3 linked regions of the Macaca mulatta genome follow. The protein of the gene in region 3 purifies or fractionates together with the protein of the main gene of each other region. This does not show direct contact. Links are inferred from orthologs where the notes say so. Each region holds a gene or a part of one and is shown on either strand. Other genes may lie near its edges.

The links. The genes of interacting proteins can lie anywhere in the genome.
Region 1: the proteins of RNF7 (region 3) and RAB40C purify together in Homo sapiens (co-immunoprecipitation; 4 studies listed by BioGRID and IntAct, with this or other methods). This does not show direct contact. The link is inferred for Macaca mulatta from reciprocal best matches to the Homo sapiens genes RNF7 and RAB40C.
Region 2: the proteins of RNF7 (region 3) and RAB40B purify together in Homo sapiens (affinity purification with mass spectrometry; 3 studies listed by BioGRID and IntAct, with this or other methods). This does not show direct contact. The link is inferred for Macaca mulatta from reciprocal best matches to the Homo sapiens genes RNF7 and RAB40B.

The regions. Positions count from the first base shown.
Region 1 is NC_133425.1:1,839,365-1,841,762, reverse strand, and holds part of RAB40C (ras-related protein Rab-40C), read right to left. Parts: intron 2,028-2,398; coding exon 1,950-2,027; intron 1,576-1,949; coding exon 1,353-1,575; intron 18-1,352; coding exon 1-17. UniProt on the Homo sapiens protein: RAB40C small GTPase acts as substrate-recognition component of the ECS(RAB40C) E3 ubiquitin ligase complex which mediates the ubiquitination and subsequent proteasomal degradation of target proteins.
Region 2 is NC_133421.1:92,410,318-92,413,817, forward strand, and holds part of RAB40B (ras-related protein Rab-40B), read right to left. Parts: intron 2,853-3,500; exon of another isoform or gene 2,809-2,852; 5' UTR 2,751-2,808; coding exon 2,609-2,750; intron 1-2,608. UniProt on the Homo sapiens protein: RAB40B small GTPase acts as substrate-recognition components of the ECS(RAB40B) E3 ubiquitin ligase complex which mediates the ubiquitination of target proteins.
Region 3 is NC_133407.1:44,728,250-44,732,325, reverse strand, and holds the start of RNF7 (RING-box protein 2), read right to left. Parts: upstream 2,801-4,076; 5' UTR 2,668-2,800; coding exon 2,493-2,667; intron 1-2,492. UniProt on the Homo sapiens protein: Catalytic component of multiple cullin-5-RING E3 ubiquitin-protein ligase complexes (ECS complexes), which mediate the ubiquitination and subsequent proteasomal degradation of target proteins.

The sequences.
Region 1 (2,398 bases), on a different chromosome or scaffold from region 3:
GTCCTGCAGGCTGAACACTGCAGGGCAGAGGGGGTGTCAGACCATGGGGCTGTGGGGGAGGCCCGGCCCTGCGCAGGGAGACCTGAGGTGCCCAAGAGAAGCCCGGCAGGGTCTCCACACTCCTAGTGGTGTCCCCTGGACTGGGATCCTGGAGGACCTGGATGCCCAAACTCCTCTGCCCAGCACAGATGTGTCCACTGCCACGCCATCCCCTGCCTTGCTCCCTAAAGCCAGGCACACTGGGCAGTGCTGCTGTGGGGCTTCCCGAGGCCACTCTGCCCAGCTCCTGGCCTGGACGCTGCAGCTCCCAGCGTGAGGGCTGCGTGATCTGGCCCTTCGAGCCGACCTGCTCTGGAGCCTCTGCTGTATCTCTGGTTGGGTTTTGACTCAATCTAGCTTGACTGTCACCAGCTCCAGTCTGCAGAGCTGGGGAGAGGAGCTCCATACGGGTGGGGGCTGGGTTATGCTGACCTGGGGTACAACCAGGCTCTTCACAGCTCCCTGTGCTTGCTTTATGGTTTTTTTTGTTTTGTTTTGTTTTGAGACGGAGTCTTGCCGTGTTGCCCAGGCTCGAGTGCAGTGGCGCGATCTCCGCTCACCGCAACCTCCTCCTCCCGGGTTCAAGCAATTCTCCTGCCTCAGCCTCCTGAGTGTCTGGGATTACAGGCGCCCGCCACTGCGCCCAGTTAATTTTTGTATTTTTAGTAGAGACGGGGCTTCACCGTGTTGGCCAGGCTGGTCTCGAACTCCTGACCTCAGGTGATCCACCTGCCACGGCCTCCCAAAGTGCTGGGATTATAGGCATGAGCCACCGCGCCTGGCCCGTGCTTCCTCTTAAGAAGGACAGTGACACCGTCAGCCACCCTCTCTCTGTCCAGTGGTGAACCCTGCCGGGAGGCACCAGATAATCAACAGTACCTTCCTGAGGGGGCTCCACTGGGACCTCTGATCAAGGACGTGGCCTCCCAGGAAGAGAAAATGAAACAACATGAAGCTGCAGGCATGGCTCCTGTGCCCCCGACAGCAGGATGCCAGCCCCAGAACCAGGGAAGGAGTGAGAACACACTGCCACACCAGCAATGCCGGGGACCCACAGGAATGGCAGAGTGCAGCTGCCACGGCGGCACCCTGAGGGAGGTCACCAGCTCCTCCTGTGCCCCCCGGTGCTGCTGCCTCTCCCCCGAGGCTACTCTTACCAAGTCACTGGCCTGCTGCCGGCTGAGCCCCTACTGCACATGGCCAAGGGACCTGCCTGAACCTTCCTCACTGGCCCCCGGCCCCCCTCAGCCTCCACGTGATCAGGGCAGCCCGGGTTTGGGGACCACAGGGCTGGCGGGCACCCGCCCACGCACCTCGGTTGGGCCTCCAGATCTTCTCCATGCCATGCCGCATGAGCACGATGCGGGACAGCTCCGTGAAGGACTCGATGACATTGAAGTTGCACAGGGGGCTGACCTCAAAGAAGGTCATGCAGTTCTTCTCTGCATACGCGCGGGCCTGCTCCGTCGGGACCTGCCGCTTGAAGGCCAGGTGCAGCCGGTTTCCAACCAAGATCCGGGGCACTCCGGGTGCGTGCTGGGGGCACAGAACTCAGCAGAAGCACAAACGCAGGGCGCCACCCACCCCTCAGCCGCAGCAGGGCCCGCCCTCACTGTCTGGCCTATGACGGGGTGGGGGCCGTGGGAGGTCGAGGTGGGCAGAGCCCAGGGCTCAGGCCCCACAGTGTAGGCCCTTCCAGGTGGCCCCGTAGCTCCTGGTCTTGCCGGGCTCCATGCCTGGCCGTTGCGTGCACAGTGACCAGCACGCCCAGGTGTAGGCCATGGGACAGTGCAGGGTGCAGAGCCAGGGCCACAGGAGGGGTGGCAGGCGGGAATCCAGAGCCTACCTGGGGCCCAGGCACCTCCATCCAGTCTGCCTTCCCCGGGAGGGCTCCCCGGACCCAGGCCTACCTCATCGATCTCCTTGATCCAGCGGTCGATGCCGTCAAAGGACCAGCGGTTGGTGATGTCATACACCAGAAGGATCCCCTGCAACAGAGACTTGGGGGTCACCAGGGGTCACCGACACGCACGGCCAGCCCAGGCCCAGGGACTCTCAGGTGCAGGGGTCTCGGTTCCTGGGCAGGGCCAAGGATACTTAGTACTTGGCGGACGGGCAGATGGGCGCTGCCCTTCATACAGCTGGTGCAGCCCTGCCCCCCACCTCTGCCCTCACCCGGCAAGGACTGCAGCAGGAGGGTGGGTGCCTTCCATGGTGTCATAAATGCTGCCTCCCCTCCCTCCCCTGGAGCCATCAGCCTGTGGAAGCTTCCTGGGCAGGCAGATGAGGGGTCCTGGCAGCCGGGGGACGTGCAGCTGTGGAAGCAAGTGTCCTCTCGGCCAGTCCATCGGTGAACCCT
Region 2 (3,500 bases), on a different chromosome or scaffold from region 3:
TATAATCCCAGCATTTAGGGAGGCCAAGACAGGAGGATGGCTTGATCCCAGGGAGGTCAAGGCTGCAGTGATCTGCAATCCTCACCACTGCCTTCAGCCCAGGCAGCAGAGAAGACCCTGTCTCTGAAAAAATTAAAAACAAATCATAATGATCTCAACTTCTTACTATTTTTCAGAGTAACTTTTCTTAACCCTAAAACAAATGTTTGGTAAATAAAAAACCTGCAAGGGTACACCCACGATAGCAGTTTTTTCTACAGCAGCTCAGGCCAGGTTGACAACAAAGCTTTTGGTGGGAGGCGTCTTTTTTTTTTTTTTTAGATAGAGTTTCGCTCTGTTGCCCAGGCTGGAGTGCAATGGTGCGATCTCGGCTCACTGCAACTTCTGCCTCCTAGGTTCAAGCGATTCTCCTGCCTCAGCCTCCCGAGTAGCTGGGATTACAGGCATGTGACACCATGCTCGGCTAATTTTGTATTTTTAGTATAGACGGGGGTTTCTCCATGTTGGTCAGGCTGGTCTCAAACTCCTGACCTCAGGTGATCCGCCCGCCTTGGCCTCCCAAAGTGCTGGGATTACAGGTGTGAGCCACCGCACCCGGCCCGGTGGGAGGTTGTATTTTTAGCCTAAACCCTCTCTCCCTGTCAAGGGAAAGCATTTAGGAGAAAGCATTGGTCCGTTGTTTTGGGTCGTCTTCAGTTCAGCATGTAGCAACCAAAAGTCATGCAGCAGAAGCATCCCTGAGCCGTCGTTCAAACCAACCAGAAGGAAGTTTCACAAACATTCTGTGCGTGGCTCTCCTCACGCATGCCCCATGGCACTCACCTTCAATCAAACTCAACACCGTCAACCGTCTGCTCCCCCAAAACACGCACAGCTCTTACAGGGCCACATTCGTCTGGGCTACACGTTGTCGGGTGCTCTATTCCTCTAGCTCTGGTAGGGTTCATCCCTCACTGAGCCCAGACCCCGAGGGCACCGTGCAGACAAAGCCCCGTCCTCCAGGCGCTCAATCTCCAGGGCAGCGCTGGCCCCCAGACTTTGCCACAGCGACATCCGAACTATCTAGAAATGTGACTAATGGAAGCTTTTTGTTTTGTTTCCTTATAATGACACTTCCACAGCCACACGTGGCTCATGGCATGTGACTGGACACCACGGTCCTAGAGACCTGCCGCTGAGCGGGGAGTGGGGTGGGGACAGGTAAAGACGCAGACTCCCCTCCTGCCCCACGGAGCACACTCTGCACCCGTCGGCTGCGAGAGACTCCCCGGCGTGCTGCAGTTTAAGGAAGCCTCCGGGTGTTGGTCGTGAGCCCAAGCCCATCTCAGCTGCTCCCCCAAACTCTTCACCCCCTTCCCTAAGCTGAGGCGTGGCCGGGCACCTGAGTCTCACCCCACGCTCCACAGTCTCAGGCCACCCCCTCCAGCCGTGCCACGCTCACCTCCCTTGGTCCTCATGCAGCCTGCCTGGAGCTGCCCGTAGGAGACGGCCTGCACCCTCTACTCTGCAGCCTCAGATCCCGCTTCCTCCCACCCGCTCTGGCAAAGCTCGTCTCTGGCAGGACCCTTCCCAGGCCCCAGAGCTGACAGGACCTTCCCACCAAGACTCCATCTCCAAGCCTCGGCTCCCCTCCTCCGCCCAGGACCCAGAGCGGGGGTCTCTGTTGGAAGTGTGGGTTCAGCCCCGAGGCGTGGCAGGCAGGTGGGCACAGCGGGGCTCCGTCCACAGCCGCAGGGTCGGCCTCGTCCGCGCGGTTCCAGGGACGCGGGTGGGTGAAGGCCCCGCCTGCTCCTCACTCCCGGCCGAGGTGTCCGCCTCTGCGCATTCCCCCTTCTCCTGGTTCCTGCCTCCGCCTTTCTTTCCCCGGAGCCGTCCACCCCCTCGCCGGGCGCCGGCTTTCAAGCCTCAAACTTCGGGGATCCCCGGGCTGTCTGCCTGGGAGCTCTGTGCGCTGCGGCCTCCCCTCGCCCTGGAACCCCCTCTCCGGCCGCTGTCGTGGGGGGTCCCCTCTTCCGCACGCGAGTCACCTGCGCTCCTTCCTCTCCCCCGGACACGCGGGACCCCTGGCCTCGGGACCGGACCCTGGTCTCCCCTCCCCTCCGATCCACGCGCAGACCCAGCACCTGGGAGCCTGCTCGCCGCGCTCCGCCCCAGGCGCCCCGGAGCTCGCGTCCCCTCCCGCCCCTCCCGCCCCCGCGGCCGAACGCGCACGTGCGGACCCGAGTCCTCCCCGGGTCCCCGCGGAGGCGGCCCCAGGTCGGGAGGGGCACAGCGACCGGCCCAGCCGCGGGCTCCCGCTGCGCGCAGACTGCGGAGAAGGATGGAGACTGCGCCGCGGGGGCCTCGAGCGGAACGGGGGTGCCGGGTGTAACAGGGACGCCGCCGCACGAGGGCCAGGCCGGGCGGAGAAAGGCGAACCGCGCTCCTCCTCAGCCGCGCGCCCCCGGACCCGGACTCCCACCCTCCCCGGGCCCGCGCCCCCGCCTCTTCCCGACCCCTCCCCGGCCTCGTGCCTCCGAACCCGGACTCCCACCCGCACCCCCTCCCAGCCCCGCGCCCCTCCCCGGACCCACGCCCGCACCCAGGCGCGCCCTCCGCCCGCGCTCACCCGCCGGGTGGCCGTACGGGGACTCGGCCGCGCCGTCCTGCAGGCTCGCCAGGATCTCGCCCTTGCCCACGTCGCTGTCGCCCACCAGCAGGAACTTGAGCAGGAAGTCGTAGGCCCGGACCGGGCTGCCCAGCGCGCTCATCGTGCCGGCCCGGCGCCCCAACCCATGCCCGGCCTGCGGGGCTGCGCGCAGAGGCGGCGGCCGGGCCCCGAGAGGCGCCGCGCGGGCCCCGAGTCCTTGCTTGCAGCCGGCCCCGCCCCGCCGCCCAGCGCTGACAGCGCGCAGCCCCGCCCGGCCCCGCCATTGGTGGACCGCAGTTGCTAGGGCGGCTGCGCATTTTCATTGGTGTGGTTGTCCGTCCATCTTACTCTCGTCGCCGCCTCCGGGCTGAAGCCCAACCGCCCCTCCTGGAAGGACGCTGTCGCCGCGGCCAATGGAGGCCCGGAGACGGAGCAGGGGCGGAGCCAGAACAAGCAGGAGGCGGGGACTCTGCTCCCGCAGCCAATGGCGAGGCGGGGCGGGGGCGAGTAGGGGGTGGGGCCGAGTGTTTACACTCTCGCGTGCGCCTGTCAGCGCCGCGAACTCGCTCCCACGCCGTCGGGTCTGCACGCACCGAGTCGGGCGGGGCGTGGGGCCGTGCTGGGTCCCGGCGTGGGGCCTCCACACCTGCCCACCAGGGAGACCTCCGGTGCCGGGCCGGGTGGGGCTTAGGGGGTCGGTCCAGTTCGCGGACGCGGCCGGAAGGGCCCCCGCAGGCCGCCTCGCCGCAAGAGTCCCTGTCGCCGTAGAATCCAGGCTCGCGGTCTCTCCCCACAGTTCATCCAGGGCCTCGTCCTTGCCCCATTTACGCGGCGTGCCTGAATGCCTGTGTGTGCACATGCGCCTGTGTAC
Region 3 (4,076 bases):
CATCAGCACTTTGCTCACTATGCAATCATCACTCTTTTCTGAATGAAGGGAGGATAGTGGAAACGAAGATGAGAGTGTTATCCATATCAGAATGGGCTGACGGGCAAATCTTGGGAGCAGAAAGTATAATAAATCACAAGTGTGAGATAAATTCCAAATACTAAGGAAAGGGAACAAAGTGGGTTCTTGTTGCTGAATCTAGGAATCTCTAAATTACGCTTATAGCTCTAATGTAGATTATCAAAACTGACCCAAATCTACACAAATTCCTAAAGTTGCAGATAAAAGATAAAAATTTGCTTTAATGATCTTCCTAGAATCTAAAACAGCACATTTCTAAGGAGTACAATAACACCTTTTAGAAGGGTGCTAGGGTAAAGACTAGGAAGTCTGGAAAAAAAGTTTCCTTCTGCTGTCACCTGACCTCTAAGTGGGTTTTAACACCTCATAAACAAAATACAAAGGTCTAGCCTAGAATACTTTCCTGAACCCAAAGTACAGCTGTTTGCAAATATGCAAGACTGATCCTGTAGTAGCAGAATACTTGCTATAATTAGAAAGTTTATGATGAAATGTGTCATTTATAGCCTATACTTTGACCTACATTAAAATATCTCAGTAAAGTTTATTTGTTGCAAAGTTTCAATCATTATTTCAGGTTATACATTTCCACTTACTGCTTAAATGTTTTTCCTTCGGGGAGGAAATAGCTTTTTGGGAGAGAAATCTTTTGAAAATACCCTTTGGGAACATTATTTTTAAACTGAAAAGGAACTAAGTGAAAGTTTAGTTTCCTTTAAACTAAAGGAATTTATTTAGGAGATAAAATGTTTAGCAAAACTTGTATTGCAAAAAAAAAAAAAAAAAAAAAAAAAAAGTCTCTTGGATCAGTTAAAAAATGCTTCCCAAACTGGAAACTATGATTCCTAAGTGAGGGTAGGGGCAGCTGTACTGCTGGCAAATAAACTAGATACTTTTAAAGCCTAATATGTTTTGTTTGTTTGTTTTTGAGACAGGGTCTCATTCTGTCACCCAAGCTAGAGTATCGTGGCAGTGGCAGGAAAAAGGCTCACTGTAGCCTCGACCTCCTGGGCTCAAGGGATCCTCCCACCTCAGCCTCCTGAGTAGCTGGAGGCCACCATGCCTGGTCACTTTATTTTAATTTTTAATTGTAGAGATAGGGTCTTGCGATGTTGCCTAGGCAGGTCTCAAACTCTTGGGCTCAAGTGATCCATATAAAATAAGTGGGTCATGTCTAATAACAAGGTCTTTCAAAAGTAAAAGGTAAAAATATCTGAATCCAATTGTTGTAAATCCTCTTTGAAACAAGCCCTTAGAATAAAAGACAAAAGAGCATAAATTGAGAAATCTCTTGATTCTGGTAGGTTTAAAGTCTCATCCCCCCTCAAGGACAGCAATTCTCTTTATGTTCTCCAATTCTCTCATTTTTCAAGACAAGTCAGTTTTCAAACTACAGAAATGTCTGTTTTCTTTAACTACCCTCAATAAAGAACTCCACTGAAGATGCTCTCACAGTAATTTTAAATGCCCTATCTGAAAATACAACTTGCATTTAAACAGCACTTGCTTTTCAAAGTGGTCTGAGATCTTAGAACCATATAAAATATAACAAGAGTAAGCTGTTCTGAAACATTTTGCTTGGTCTAATATTTTAACTCCAAATATCACAGAAAGAGGACATATTTGTAAGAGGGTTCTCCACAAAGGCATGACTCAGAGCAGGGCAGTATCTTCTCCAGGAAATGACATCCGATATGGAGAGGGGGGTGTAATGGAGGTGAAGTTCTACATTTCTGAAAAAAGGGCTTACAATTCTTCGGCTTCCATGAAACTTAGATATTCTTGAATCACACTGTCCCCTTCAAGCCACGCTAGTGCTATCTGACCCGTCTTAGATCAATCCAGATTTAAAAGCCATTCGAAGAGCGGCGGTAAGCTAATCCGGAAATGCAATGGCTGTGAACACTTTCCTGTGTACCTCGAGGAGAACTAAGGGTGTCGTTTTGTGGAAGATGACTCCGGAGCATCACTTTGATGGTGACCAAGACTATTAAAGTTCACTGCTGAATCACGGCCTTTACTCTGTCCACCTTGCGATGAGCTTTTAGAACAGGGGCTGGCCACACAAACCGAAGTGTTTCCTGCTAGTTCCCAACAATCACCCGGTTTTATTTTCCTGGTCACACCCATCACTACCTGAAATTACCTTGTTTACCTCCGTTTATTGCCCATTTCTCTCCCTAGAACACCAACCACCCGGCGCCGGGCGCCTGTTGCACAACCCCTCAGCCCTCAGGAGCCGCAACAGGATCGTGGCTCCGCGTTCCTCCGGCGCCCGGGCAGGGCGACCTCCACCCACTCCCCAAGGCAGGGGACTTTCCAAGGCTTCTGGCGGGCGCCCGTCCAGTCCCAATCCCGAAGTCGGCTCCCGGAGGCCGCAGCGCGGCCCCGGCCTTGCGTGCAGCGCTTACCCATCACCTGGACCCTGCAGATGGCGCACGTATCGCACTCAACGTCCCAGCTCCACATGGCCACCGCGTTCCACTTCTTGAGGGAGAACATCTTGTCGCCTCCCGACTTGGAGCCTGAGCTCCCGGAGTGAGACGCCAGGGCGCAGGTTTCCTCTCCGTCTTCCACGTCGGCCATGGCGGCGCCGCGGAGCCGACGGCGGAGACGTTGGCTTGGGGTAGGCGGGAGGCTAGGGCGGCTCTGCCGGGCCGCCCGACGGGCCACAGCGCCGCCCGCAGGCCGCAGGCCACCGTGGTGCCCAGACCCCGGCCACCCACGATTGGCTGGCGCGGCCCAGTGACGTCACCGGACGCCAGCGGCGGGGGGGCAGGCAGGCCCCGCCCCCGCCCTCCTGGGGCGACCGAGCGGGCTTGGGGCTTCTCGGGGCTACGCTGCCGAATCCGCCTGCCGCGCTGCGGGGTGTTACGTCTGAGCAGGCGCACAGATTGTGCTGGAATGTGTGTCCTGCTTTATGGCTTCATTAAAACTACTGCTCTCAGAAATAATCTTGTTAATTTACTTGTTTGTCTTTTCCCTCCCAAGTGTAAAACTCTATCAGAGCAGGGAATATGTTCTTATCACCACATTGTCCTCGGTATCTACAAAATGCCTGGCCACAAGAGGCACAATTATTTCTTGAGTGAATTAATGATCTTAAAGATCTAGAAATCTGGCTCAGTGATTCTCAGACTTTTTGGTCTCAGGACTCCTTTTCACTTAAAAATTATTAGTCCCTTAAAGAGCTTTTATTTATGTAGGAAATGTATAAATATATATATACACACACACATATGTATGAATATATATACATATATACAATGAATATATGTACATTCATGTATAATGAATATTCATACATTTCCTGTATATGTATACACACGTACATAGAGATTAATGTTTCTTTTTAAGAAATTAAAACATATTTTTAAATGTATTCATTAAAAATCACAGTAATAACCTCATTAGAGGTTATCATTAGAGGGATAACTTCACATACCATGTAATTTCTAGAAACTCCCGTGTACACTCGTAGAATGAGAGTGAAAAGAGAGAAATAGCTCTAAATATTGTTAGGCAACTAGTTTGCCCTCTTTTGACCCCTAAAAGAGGTCAGGATCCCAGGAGTCCCGGTGTGTGGCGACACAACCCACACGTATTTTTCAGGCCCTGCTTCCTCATCTGCAGAGTCTCCATTCCTTCTGCTCAGTACATTTGAGCTAGTTTAACTTCCTCTTTTTATATGTAGGACTAATGAGGTCCGAAGAAGTGAAATGACAAAGATCACATTGTTATTACAGTAGTGCTTCTACTGCTAGCCCACCATCACATGTGTTTCCAAGAAAGCAGGCATCTCCACTGAAAAGAAAGCAGAAGCACAGACAGCCTAAGGAGATGCCTGATCCCACCGTCACCTAGTGGTGGACACCTACTCTGTCAAGTTTGGATTCTGAGCCTCTCGCCATCCCCTCATCTCCTGATACCTGGGCAAAAGGTAACCAGGCCAATGGAACCTGGCAGGGGAAACAAGAATGCATTAATCTATAGAA